3 linked regions of the Struthio camelus genome follow. The protein of the gene in region 2 purifies or fractionates together with the protein of the main gene of each other region. This does not show direct contact. Links are inferred from orthologs where the notes say so. Each region holds a gene or a part of one and is shown on either strand. Other genes may lie near its edges.

What was found.
Region 1: the proteins of HSCB (region 2) and ISCU purify together in Homo sapiens (affinity purification with western blotting; 3 studies listed by BioGRID and IntAct, with this or other methods). This does not show direct contact. The link is inferred for Struthio camelus from reciprocal best matches to the Homo sapiens genes HSCB and ISCU.
Region 3: the proteins of HSCB (region 2) and SDHAF1 purify together in Homo sapiens (co-immunoprecipitation; 3 studies listed by BioGRID and IntAct, with this or other methods). This does not show direct contact. The link is inferred for Struthio camelus from reciprocal best matches to the Homo sapiens genes HSCB and SDHAF1.

The regions. Positions count from the first base shown.
Region 1 is NC_090958.1:18,837,728-18,841,471, forward strand, and holds the start of ISCU (iron-sulfur cluster assembly enzyme ISCU), read left to right. Parts: upstream 1-931; 5' UTR 932-979; coding exon 980-1,063; intron 1,064-1,154; coding exon 1,155-1,268; intron 1,269-2,050; coding exon 2,051-2,161; intron 2,162-2,835; coding exon 2,836-2,914; intron 2,915-3,315; coding exon 3,316-3,413; 3' UTR 3,414-3,744.
Region 2 is NC_090958.1:20,910,409-20,914,152, reverse strand, and holds the start of HSCB (iron-sulfur cluster co-chaperone protein HscB), read right to left. Parts: upstream 2,753-3,744; 5' UTR 2,720-2,752; coding exon 2,493-2,719; intron 2,178-2,492; coding exon 2,081-2,177; exon of another isoform or gene 1,875-2,080; coding exon of another isoform or gene 1,866-1,874; intron 1,674-1,865; coding exon 1,584-1,673; intron 979-1,583; coding exon 834-978; intron 641-833; coding exon of another isoform or gene 609-640; exon of another isoform or gene 557-608; intron 1-556.
Region 3 is NC_090957.1:1,947,359-1,951,014, forward strand, and holds SDHAF1 (succinate dehydrogenase assembly factor 1, mitochondrial), read right to left. Parts: upstream 2,626-3,656; 5' UTR 2,476-2,625; intron 1,381-2,475; 5' UTR 1,340-1,380; coding exon 1,016-1,339; 3' UTR 578-1,015; downstream 1-577. Other genes in the region: TBCB (tubulin-folding cofactor B), read right to left, coding at 3,215-3,332, 3,465-3,537, 3,634-3,656.

The sequences.
Region 1 (3,744 bases), about 2.1 Mb from region 2:
GCCAGCGCCGCTCCGCCAGCCGCCGGGGCTGCCCGCGCCGCGCCTAAGCCGCCGTCACGCCCTGCCGCCGGGCAAACCCCGCGGGGAGAGGGGCGAGCCGCCGCCCGCAGGGCCCCGCGCTCCGCCGCGCACCGGCACCGCTCCCGGCCGAGCGACTCCGGGCCGTCCCGCTTGCCGGCTGCTGCGAGGCGCAGGCATCGCTGCGGCCACCTCGGGCCCTGGCCGCCGGGGGGCCTCCGAGAAGGTCGGCGCGGGCCCGGAGCGCGCGTGCGCCGCCGGTCCGCCATGTTGAGTGTGGCGGTGGCTGGCGGGGAGCCCAACCCCGCCCCGGCCGCCAACGGCTGCTGCGCCACACTTCGCGGCCGAAAAAATAAAAAAAAAAAAACACCCCGAGCTACTGTTCATCCGTTTTAGTGACAGCGTTAGGGTTCTTGAAGACGGCCCAAAGCGTTCCCTCTGTTTACGAGATGGCTTTCCTCGCGTCCGGGTTACATCACCGGCGCGCTGCCCGAGGCGGCCAGATAACGTTCGCGTGGGCTCGGCCGCCTATCTTGCCCGAGCACGCGTCCCCCGCGCCCTCCGCCAGGCTGCCACACCGCGCGCCTCTCCCGGCACCAGCCCCGCCATGCCGCGGAAACAGCGGCGGACGGGGCGACCTGACGGCACCTGAGGAGCCTCCTGCGAGGGGGCGCGGAGGGGCTGGGGGAACCGCCGGCAACGTAACCGTCGGCTGAGTACTTGGGGGGGGGGTGCACCGAAGCGTGGGCCAGAGCCAGCGTCCGGGGAGAGACGACAGCCGAGAGGGGAAGGGGCTCGCCGGGAGCCGCCAGGCACGGCCCGCCCGCCCCGCTTCTGCCAGGCCGCTGGCCCAGGCCCGTGAGGAGCGCGGCCGCCCGCGCAGCGCCCCGCGGCCCCGCCCCCTCCCGCCGCCACACGATAAAAGGGCGGCGCGGCGCGACCCGCCCCCGCGCGGACCAAGATGGCGGCGCTGAGGGCGGCGGGGGCCGCGCTGCTGCGGCCCGGGCGCGGCGAGGCGGCGGCGAGGTTGGGCTACCACAAGAAGGTGAGGGGCAACGGGACGGGACCGGGGTGGGGGGGAGGAGGGCCGCCGCCGCCGCGGCGACGGGCTTTGGTGACGCGGTGCCCGCCCGCAGGTGGTGGACCACTACGAGAACCCGCGCAACGTCGGCTCGCTCGACCGCAACGCCAAGAACGTGGGCACCGGCCTGGTGGGCGCCCCCGCCTGCGGGGACGTCATGAAGCTCCAGGTGAGCGGGAGGGGAGGGCCCCCCCTTTCCCCCCCCCTTTCCCCCCTTCCCCTTTCCCCCCCTTCCCCCCCTTCCCCCTTCTCTTCTCTTTTCCCCCCCTTCCCCCCCCTTCCCCCTTCTCTTTTCCCCCCCTTCCCCCCCCTTCCCCCTTCTCTTCTCTTTTCCCCCCCTTCCCCCCCCTTCCCCCCTTCTCTTCTCTTTTCCCCCCCTTCCCCCCCCTTCCCCCCCTTCTCTTCTCTTTTCCCCCCCTTCCCCCCCTTCTCTTCTCTTTTCCCCCCCTTCCCCCCCTTCTCTTCTCTTTTCCCCCCCTTCCCCCCCTTCTCTTCTCTTTTCCCCCCCTTCCCCCCCCTTCCCCCCCTTCCCCCCTTCTCTTCTCTTTTCCCCCCCTTCCCCCCCTTCCCCCCCCTTTCCCCCCTTCTCTTCTCTTTTCCCCCCCTTCCCCCCCCTTCCCCCCCTTCTCTTCTCTTTCCCCCCCCTTTCCCCCCCTCCCCTTCTCTTCTCTTTCCCTTCTTTTCTCCTCTTCCCCCCCCCCCCCCCCCCCCGACTTGTGACCTTGGGGCTCCTCGGCCGCAGCGAGGCCTGCTGCAGTTTGGCCTGCCCCAGGGACGGGCCTGGTCCTGTCTGTCCCCCCCCCGCCCCGAGCCCAGGCAGGGCTTGTCGCTGCTCCCCCGGGGATGGGTGTGAGTCAGGTGCTGCCCCCCCCCCCCCCCCCCAGGGGTGGTTCAGGGGTGCCCGGTGAGGCAGAGCCGGCCCCTGAGGTGCTGCTGCCGACGTTCCCGCAGGTGGAGGTGGACGAGAACGGGAAGATCATCGATGCCCGTTTCAAGACGTTCGGCTGCGGATCGGCCATCGCTTCCAGTTCGCTGGCTACGGAGTGGGTTAAAGGGAAAACGGTAAGGGTCTCTGTGGAGGCAGTGCCGTGGAAAGCGTTTGAAGTTTCAAGCCCCACTGTGTTGGGGCCACCGAAGAAGCGGAGGCCTGGAAAGCGCTCTGGAGAAGTGGTGCTATGTAATGTACTAGCTTAGAAAGCTGTGCCTGAGAACTCTGTCCTTGTCAGTGGCCTGGCTTCTGGGGCAGTAGCTGTCTCCTCCAAGAACCTGCACTAATTTGCAGAGAAACGCTTTGTGGATTATACAGCAAGAAAAACAGATTGCAAGATCTGGAAAAAAACTTTTAAAACCACATTTTTCAGATTACTTACCCCCTTTTTTTTTTGGTGAGTTCATGGGTTTCAGTATTGTGCGGAAAAGGTAAACAAACTTAAAACAATTCCTTAGTCATGTTCAGTCCATAACACTAGCATGTTTTGGTTAGTTAACACTGCTGCTTGGCTTGAGGCATTCCTTGAGATTGTTACTTGGCTGGCACAGAAGAAAACTGGATAGATGTTGAGGGTCTTTCTCGTGTTAGCGTGTTGTCCAGCGTCCTTTGCTGCCAGGGGCAGTTGAGATATTCTTTGTGGATTCTGTTGGCCTCTGGAGCCTTAAAGCGCTCTTCTCACAAATACGTTTGGAGCCTGTATTATTTATCAGATGACTAGTATCTTCACACTAACTGTATGTTTCAGGTTGATGAAGCTTTGAAGATCAGGAATACAGATATTGCTAAAGAACTTTGCCTTCCTCCAGTCAAACTGCACTGCTCTAGTAAGTAAAGGACTAAGCTATTAAAGTCCAAAGACAAGTTTGTGGGAATAAGACTTCTGGCAATAGCACAGATGCTTCCAAATGTTATTGTCCAAATCAAATACCTGTACCTGGAACAACTGAGGCTGGCCTGCAAGAGAAAGTAGCTTATATTCGGGCTTTGGGGTGACATTACAAGTTTCCAAGTCTGTCATCTTTTGGGTTTTGTGTAGCTCAGAAGACTGGTGACAATAAAAGGTCTGACTCCTGACTGTCTGCTTCTAAAATACTGACCCTGTTCTCAAACTCCTACGCTAACTTCTGTGGGGTTTACTGCTGCTGGTTTTACTGCATATTGTGTTCAAAATGACTTCTCGCCTCTCTTGAAATAGTTGTAAGGCCTCGTTTTGTTTTCTTTGTAGTGTTGGCTGAAGATGCAATCAAGGCCGCCTTGGCTGATTACAAGCTGAAGCAGGATCCAAAGAAAGAAGAGTCGGAGAAGAAAGCAAACAATGCCTAAACTGACTGTAGAGCTTGTTCTCATTCCACTTAAATTTGCAGTGCAATTACTCTAGCTATTAGTAGGATCCTGTGCACTACTAAATGAAGCTGTAAGATACGCACAACTTACGCACAATGTGTCACTGTTCCATGTGTGTTAAGACACTTGTAGTGCTTAAGTGACTGGAATGTGGGTATTTCAGCAGTCTGTATCCTATCGTGACTATTCTTGGAAATATTTGGGTGAAGGAGACTGCTTAACTGCAGACAGCTATAGTGGCTTCTCTCAGAAGTGAAAATTCTGGTGTTCCAGTGCTGGAATGGCTGCACTTTTTGGAAGATGTATAGTT
Region 2 (3,744 bases):
AGATAGTAATTGCGTTTGTATATTATGTCACGGTTATTTGCATTAACACGTAGAGAAACTATTCTGCTGATAGGCTTAAGTCTCCTCTGTACCAAAAAGCTTTGACAGAAACTGCACGTCGCATCACACTTTGCTTATCCTCTTGGTTCAGCAGGCAAAGATTTGTTCAAACTCCACAACCTTATCACCATCAGTTTATACCGACATCTTGCCTGGATTCTCCACTACCACCGATTCATGAACTGCCTTTTAATGAAATATTTTATCAAGTTGTCGTCTGTATTCACCAAAATACTCAACGTTTTCAAGTGGAAGAGAGAACCCAGTGAAAGTCTGGAAGTCCTGTCATTGACAAAGGACCACTCTTGGTAGAAAATAGTACTCAGTTTGGGCTCCTTCATCACACATTTATCTCCTTGAAACCAGGAGATACCCTGTGGTCAGTTAAGTATTTTATTAAATCCCATTTTGAATGTTCCTTCCTTTAGAACAATCGAATTGCCCTTATCCGCTGAACAAGAATTTCCTTTTTATAATCAATACAGGTATACCTATATACCTTCAGAATAGGTACTCTCATGCAGATTTTCTGAAGCCAGATTTGACTTTCAGGTGGCATAAATTGGTAAAGATAACTTTTCTTAAAAAAAAAAAAAAAAAAAAAAGGTGCTTTGGAGCAAGTCAGTTCAAGTCTAATGCAAGTAAGTGATAAGACACTAAAAGAAATGCACTGAAAGAATTAAGAGTCTTAAGAGAGACTAACTTATTTTCATGTTATAAAAGATACAGGAATGTAAATTACTTCTGTACAAAACTGCTAGATTGCAACCTACCTTTAATTAAGGTTTCAGTTTCTTCAAGGGTACCCTCATTATTAGGCTCTGCTAATTTCTCATTAATTTCCATGATTTCCATGAGAAACTCCGGATCAGCATCACAGTCCGTCTCTTGTGCCAGCTGTATTCCATTCAGCTCCAGCTTATGAAGAAAATGGGAATTAGGAAACCCATGTTCATACATCTATTTCTATGTAAACGATATTCTAAAATACTAAGTCTTTACTAACTTGCACAGACTCCTGTCTGGTAAATTTCAGGTATGTGAACTTACTCAGTGAAGCCTGCATTAACAGAGTCTGTGTTAAAATTAACTCTACTGGTAGACCCTAAAAACAAGCAGTTAATCAAAGCCAAGAAAAGGTAATGAAGACCGCAAAGAAGACTGCTTCAGCAGACTGAAGACTGTTTTTCATTTTTCAAATGAAAAGCAACAGCTATAGCCAAAGAAAACGCGCAAAACACATACTAAACTAGTGACATAAGCAGGAAGCGAGATTACAGCAATCAGCAAAGTGTTAAAGAAAACAGTGCTCTATAGAAAGGCTGATAACTTTCAGACAAGCTTGTTTCTGGTCTCCCTTCAGTCCTGTTTCTTCTTCAGAGGAACACGAATTAGCTAGCACGTTAGCGGTGGAGTCTGAGACAAAGTTTATAAAGCTCTGATTCATTACGTTACCACCAAAAGCCCTAACCACCCACAACTAGTTATGAGAGTATAAATATAGTATGCAATGGAAACCTCACTAGATAGAGGCCGCGGCTCAAAGGATTCAGGAGAGTCTGGTAGGCTTTGTTGATCAAGGAAGAGTGCTGCTCAGAGTAATACTGTTCTTTCTGTCAACAGAAGATAAACAATACTCAGTAGCAAGTTATTCATAGTAATAAAGGACAAAATATATTATTACACTTAAGTCACCTGCAGATAAAAAAACATTTCCACAGCAGTACATGTGTGTAAAACTGAAAGTTCATTTTTTAACAGAAGTAAAATACAAAGAACGGGGAGAGGACTGCCCAGAACCGTACCTCTGCCATCTCCCGGGACGGACCAGGCCAAGGGCTGGTGGCGACGGGATCTGCCGCCCGCTACCGCCCCCCAGCCAGCCCGGGAGCGGAAGCCGGGGAGTCGCTGCCGGCCCGACACGGGAGGGCTGCGGCGCTGCCCCGGCGGGGGGAGGCCGGGCCGAGCCGGGGCCGTGTCCGGGGCCGTGTCGGGGCCGGGGCGCCCGGGCGGCACTCACCGGCGGCCTCTGGCCGAAGCGGTCAGGGTGGAGGGCGCGCTGCAGGCTCCGGAACCGCCGCCGCAGCTGCTGCTCGTCGAGGCGGAAGGAGCGGTCACTGCGGGCGAGAGCAGCGCCGTGAGCGCGGCCCCGGCCCCCGCCCCGCCGGCCCCGGCCCCCGGCCCCCGCCCCGCCGGCCCAGCCCCGGCCCCAGCCCCGCCGGCCCGGCCCCGCCGGCCCGGCCCCCGGCCTCCGCCCCGGCCCCCGCCCTGCCGGCCCGGCCCCCGCCCTGCCGGCCCGGCCCCGGCCCCGGCCCCGGCCCCAGCCCCGCCGGCCCGGCCCCCGGCCCCCGCCCCGCCGGCCCAGCCCCGGCCCCAGCCCCGCCGGCCCGGCCCCCCGCCCCGGCCCCGGCCCCCGCCCCGCCGGCACTCACCAGGCCATGAGGCGGAAGAGGTCAGGCCGCGGCCCGGGCGGCTGCAGGGCCCGGCAGGCGGGGCAGAAGCGGGGCAGCCCCCCGGCGCTGGGGACGGGGCCGCCGCAGCTCCAGCACCGCGGGGCCGCCGCAGAACCCGGCCCGACGCAGCGCGGCCGCGGAGCCGCCTCGGAAACGCGGCAGCGCCATCGCCCGCGGCACAGGTGCTGCCCGAGCGCCGCCCGCATCCCCAGACTACAGCTCCCAGCAGCCCCCGCGGGGGCGCCGCGGGCCCTGATTGGCGCAGTTCGTAGCCAGGATTCGCGGGGCGCCTGCGCACTGAGTAGCGCGGCGCGGGCTCCGCGCGGCGACCGGCGCGGGCTCTCCCCTCCGTGAGTTCGCCCCCCGCGCCCCCCGCCCCCCCCCGCCGGGTCGCCGGAGGCCCGGGCAGCTTGGCCGGCCCGGCCGCACTCGGGCGCTGCGGCGGGGCGCGGGGAGGCGCCGCGGGGAGGGGCAGGCGCTGCTGCGGCCGGGCGGGCGGCAGGGGGCGCTGCGGGCTGCGTGGGGGGGGCCCTGTGGGGGGGGGTGTGCGTGCGTGCGTGCGTGCGTGCGTGTGTGTGTAGGGGGCGCTGTAGGGTGTGGGGGGTGTGCGGGGGTGTGTGGTAGAGGGTGCTGCGGGGGGTGTGGGGGTGAGGGGGTGGGTGCATGGTGGAGGGCGCTGTGGGGTGGGGGGGCGCGGCGGGGTGGGTGTGGGGTGTGTGGGGGTGGGGGGCGGGGTGGGGGGTGTGGGGGGTGTGTGGTGGAGGGTGCTGTGGGATGGGGGGGGCGCGGCGGGGTGGGTGTGGGGTGTGTGGGGGTGGGGGGTATGGGGTGTGTGTGTGTGGTGGAGGGCGCTGTGGGGTTTGGGGGGGTGGGTGTGTGGGGGTGGTGGAGGGCGCTGGGGGGGTGGGGGTGTGTGGGGGTGGGGGGTATGGGGGGTGTGTGTGTGCTGGAGGGTGCGGGGGGGTTTGGGGGGGTGGGTGTGTGGGGGGGTGGTGGAGGGCGCTGGGGGGGTGGGTGTGGGGTGTGTGGGGGTGGGGGGTATGGGGGGTGTGTGTCTGTGTGGTGGAGGGCGCTGGGGGGTTTGGGGGGGTGGGTGTGTGGGGGGGTGGTGGAGGGCGCTGGGGGGGTGGGTGTGGGGTGTGTGGGGGTGGGGGGTATGGGGGGTGTGTGTCTGTGTGGTGGAGGGCGCTGTGGGGTTTGGGGGGGTGGGTGTGTGGGGGGGTGGTGGAGG
Region 3 (3,656 bases), on a different chromosome or scaffold from region 2:
GCCTCTCCTCGTAGCGGCGTGGCTTTCCGGCCTCAAAGCCAAAATAGTACTTTCCGTATTAAATTTCCAGCCCTCGGTGACATCCTCTGCTGGACCTGCCAGCAGCCTGAAGCCGCGCAGCACCGTTTACTGCTGTGTGCTGTTAACCCTGAAACCTACTGATGTCAATACGGTCACTGCTTGGATTAGTGTAAAGCCTGAAGTTGTGTCGTGCTAGGCGTTGGACTTGCACAGCGAACAAGCACGCTAGCCAGGTAAAGAAGCACTTTCCGCAGCCTTTTTGGCAAAAGAATCATTAAAAAAATAAAAGAAAAGGGCGCTGCTAAAAGGATACCGATTGTGCCCTGTTTGCCCCAAAGCAGCAGCGCGGCCAAACGCAAACCGGGCAAAAACCGCAGCCGTAATCAGGCAGCTCCGGGCACGCTCGTTACCCCGAGCGTGGCACAAAGAACAGTTTGGGCTCCGCTTTGGCCTCGTCCCCCCAAGGGAAGGCGCTTTGGGGTTTTTACGACTTTTCGGGCGGTCGAGCAGGATGCTGCTGCCATGCTGCCCAAAAAACCCCCCAAAAACCTGTTTTTCTCCACTTTAAAACTCGCCTTTATTAGAAATGCAATAAAACGCCAGCCCGGGGCGCGAGCGGGAACGGCACCAAACCCTCCCGGGTGGCCAGTTTTCGCCGAACTCTGCCGTCCCGCCCCGCATTGCAACCGGGTGCCGTTTGAGGAGGAAAACGTTTTTTTGGGCGGGTGACGCTGCTGCGAGAACGGCGCGAGTCGCTGCGGTGTCTCCGTCAGGAACGGCGAACAAACTCCGTCCGTCACCGGAAAACAGCCTTTTGAAGGCGACGCGTTCCTTTTTTCCCCCCTCCTCCTCCTCCTCATTTCAGGACGGACCGGAGCTGGTTCCCCCCAAAACGCGCACAACGCGACGGGAACAAACCGCCAAACCGGCCCGAACCCCCGATAATCCCCAGCGGCGGAAACGAGCAGATCCCACCTCCGGCACCCGCGATCCTTTAGGAGGAGCCACCGTCTCCCGGCCGCCCTCTTTTTAGCGCTTGTTTCTCCTCCGGAGCGGCCCGCAGCCTCGGCTCGGCGCCCGCCGCCGCCCGGCCGAAGGCGCTCAGCCGCTTGGTGCTGGCGGCGCGCAGCTGCTCCAGCTGCCGCCGGCCGCGCCGCAGCAGGAACTCGAGGCGCAGGCTGTCGCCGGCCGGCGTGCCGGCGTGCCGGCGGAACTCCTCTCGGATGCGTTGCTCGGAGCCCGGCTTGTCCTTGCCGGCGCGCAGCAGCTGCCGGTACAGGCTCAGCACTTCCCTCTGCAGCCGGCTCCGGGCCGCCATGGCGCCGGGGACGGGCGAATCCGGCCCCCAGCGGCCTCTGGCTGCGGTTGGGGGGGGGGGAAGGAGGGGGGACAGTTAGCCCTGCGGGGGTGTTAATTGCCAGGGGTGTTAATTGCCGGGTGTTGGCTGCGGTGCCCCCAGGACGTGAAGGAAAGGCGCTTTGTTAGGGGTGCACAGTCGGCCAAGGGCGGACAGTGGGCCCGGGGAGGTGGGGGTGGTTGTAGGGTTGTGGCCCTGGAGGTGGTGGTTGTAGGGTTGCAGCCCTGCAGCCCTGGGGGGTGGTGGTTGTACCGTTGTGGCCCTGGGGGTGGTGGCTGTAGAGTCGCAGCCCAAGGGTTGTTGTAGGGCTGTGGCCCCGGGGGTGGTTGTAGGGTCACAGGCCAAGGGTTGTTGCAGGGTTGTAGCCCTGGGGATGGCGGTTGTAGGGTTGTGGCCCTGGGGGTGGTGGCTGTAGAGTCACAGCCCAAGGGTTGTTGCAGGGCTGTGGCCCCGGGGGTGGTTGTAGGGTCACAGGCCAAGGGTTGTTGCAGGGTTGTAGCCCTGGGGGTGGTGGCTGTAGAGTCGCAGCCCAAGGGTTGTTGCAGGGCTGTGGCCCTGGGAGTGATGGTTGTAGGGTTGTGAACCCAGGGGTGGTTGTAGGGTGGCAACCCAAGCGTTGTTGCAGGGCTGCAGCCCCAGAGCTGGTGGTTGTAGGGTCGCAGCCCCGAGGAGGGGTTGTGGAGTTGTGGCCCTGGGGAGGGGTGGTGGTTGTAGGGTCCCTGTGTGTGTGTGTGTGTGTGTGTGTGTGTGTGTGTGTGTGTGTGTGTGTGTGTGTGTGTGTGTGTGTTATTGTAGGGTCACAGCCCCTGGGGCTGTGTTGTTCCTCCACCCCAGGCTGTTATTGCAGGGTCTCCCGGGCTGGTTTTGTCTCCACCTGCTGTTGTTATTGTGTCTCCATCCCCCCCTCGTTGTTATTGTAGGGTCTCCCGGGGGGGGGGTGTCTCTCTCCCACCCACCCCGCTTGTTAGTGTAGGGTCTCCCGGGGCGGTCGTGTCTCCACCCCCCCACCCCACCTCGTTGTTATTGTAGGGTCTCCTGGGGCTGTGTTGCTCCCCCCCCCCGGCGTTGTTATTGTAGGGTCTCCCCGTCCCGCTCACCCGCGCGGCCTCTCCTTCCCGCGACGCCGTCACCCCTTCCGGCCCCGCCCACCTGGGCACGCCCCCCTGCGCGGCGGCGCCTCCGCCTATTGGCTGCGGGGAAGCCCCGCCCCCAGAGGCACCACCCCTGCGCTGCCACCACGTGGGGTCCGGTACCGGCGGCGGCTCCTTCCCGGGGGCCGCTCCAACCCCCCCCCCCCCCCAAAAATACCCCCTTCCCGGTGGCCACGGCGACGGCTTCACCCTCGGGGGCTTTATTTAAGGGACGGGCCCCGGCGGCGGGACAAAGCGAACAATAACTTACCGGGAGCAAACCCAACCCTCCCGCTTTCGGCCCCAAAAGAGGCGCGGGACGGCGGGAGAGCGGCGCGGCGGCGAGGCCCCCGGCGCAGCGATCGCCGACGGCAACAAGAGGGGAAAAAAAGGAAAGAAATAAAAAGCAGCGGTGAGAAAACGGGGCAAAAACCGCCGCAATGGGGAATTTTCTGTTTGGGGGGGGGACGAAGCGGCTTTGTACACGGGACCGGCAGCAGGGACGATCCGGCACGGCCGGGAAATTCGGGCACGCGAGGCTGCGGCGAGCCGGCCGGCTCTGGACCGGAGCGGGAAAAAAAGGGGGGGGGGGAAAAAACCAAAACAGCGTTTTCCTCCAAAAAACAAAAAAAGGAAACAAAAGGAAACGAAACAACCGCCTGTTGGCGGGTCAGCGTCCCTCGCGGCGGCGGAGCGCCGGCCTCGCTCACATCTCGTCCTCCAGGCCGTAGTCTTCCTCGGGGAAGTCGCCCACGGTGACGCTCGCCGGCTTGACGAAGGCGCCGTACTTGGGCTGGCACTCGAAGTACTTCCGGCCGGCGACGCTGGCAAAGACGGGGAAAAGGGGTGGAGGGGGGAAAAACAGCGTCGGAGCGCGGAAAAAAAATACCAGCGGGCACCGGGGGCTCCGGCTGTAGTCACCGCTCCGAGCGGGAAGGGGACAGGCGCCCGCCTACCTGCCGTCGTGCTTGCCGAGCGGCTCGTCGTAGCGCACCCCGACCCAGTAGCCCGGCTTGAAATCCGTCAGCCCTGCGAGGAGGAGGAGGAGGAAGAGCGCCGAGCGTCAGCGGCCCGAAGGCGGAGCGGGCGATTCGGGGAAAACGCGGGGCGCCGGCTGCCACTCACCGACGTACATGACGGTGCCCAGC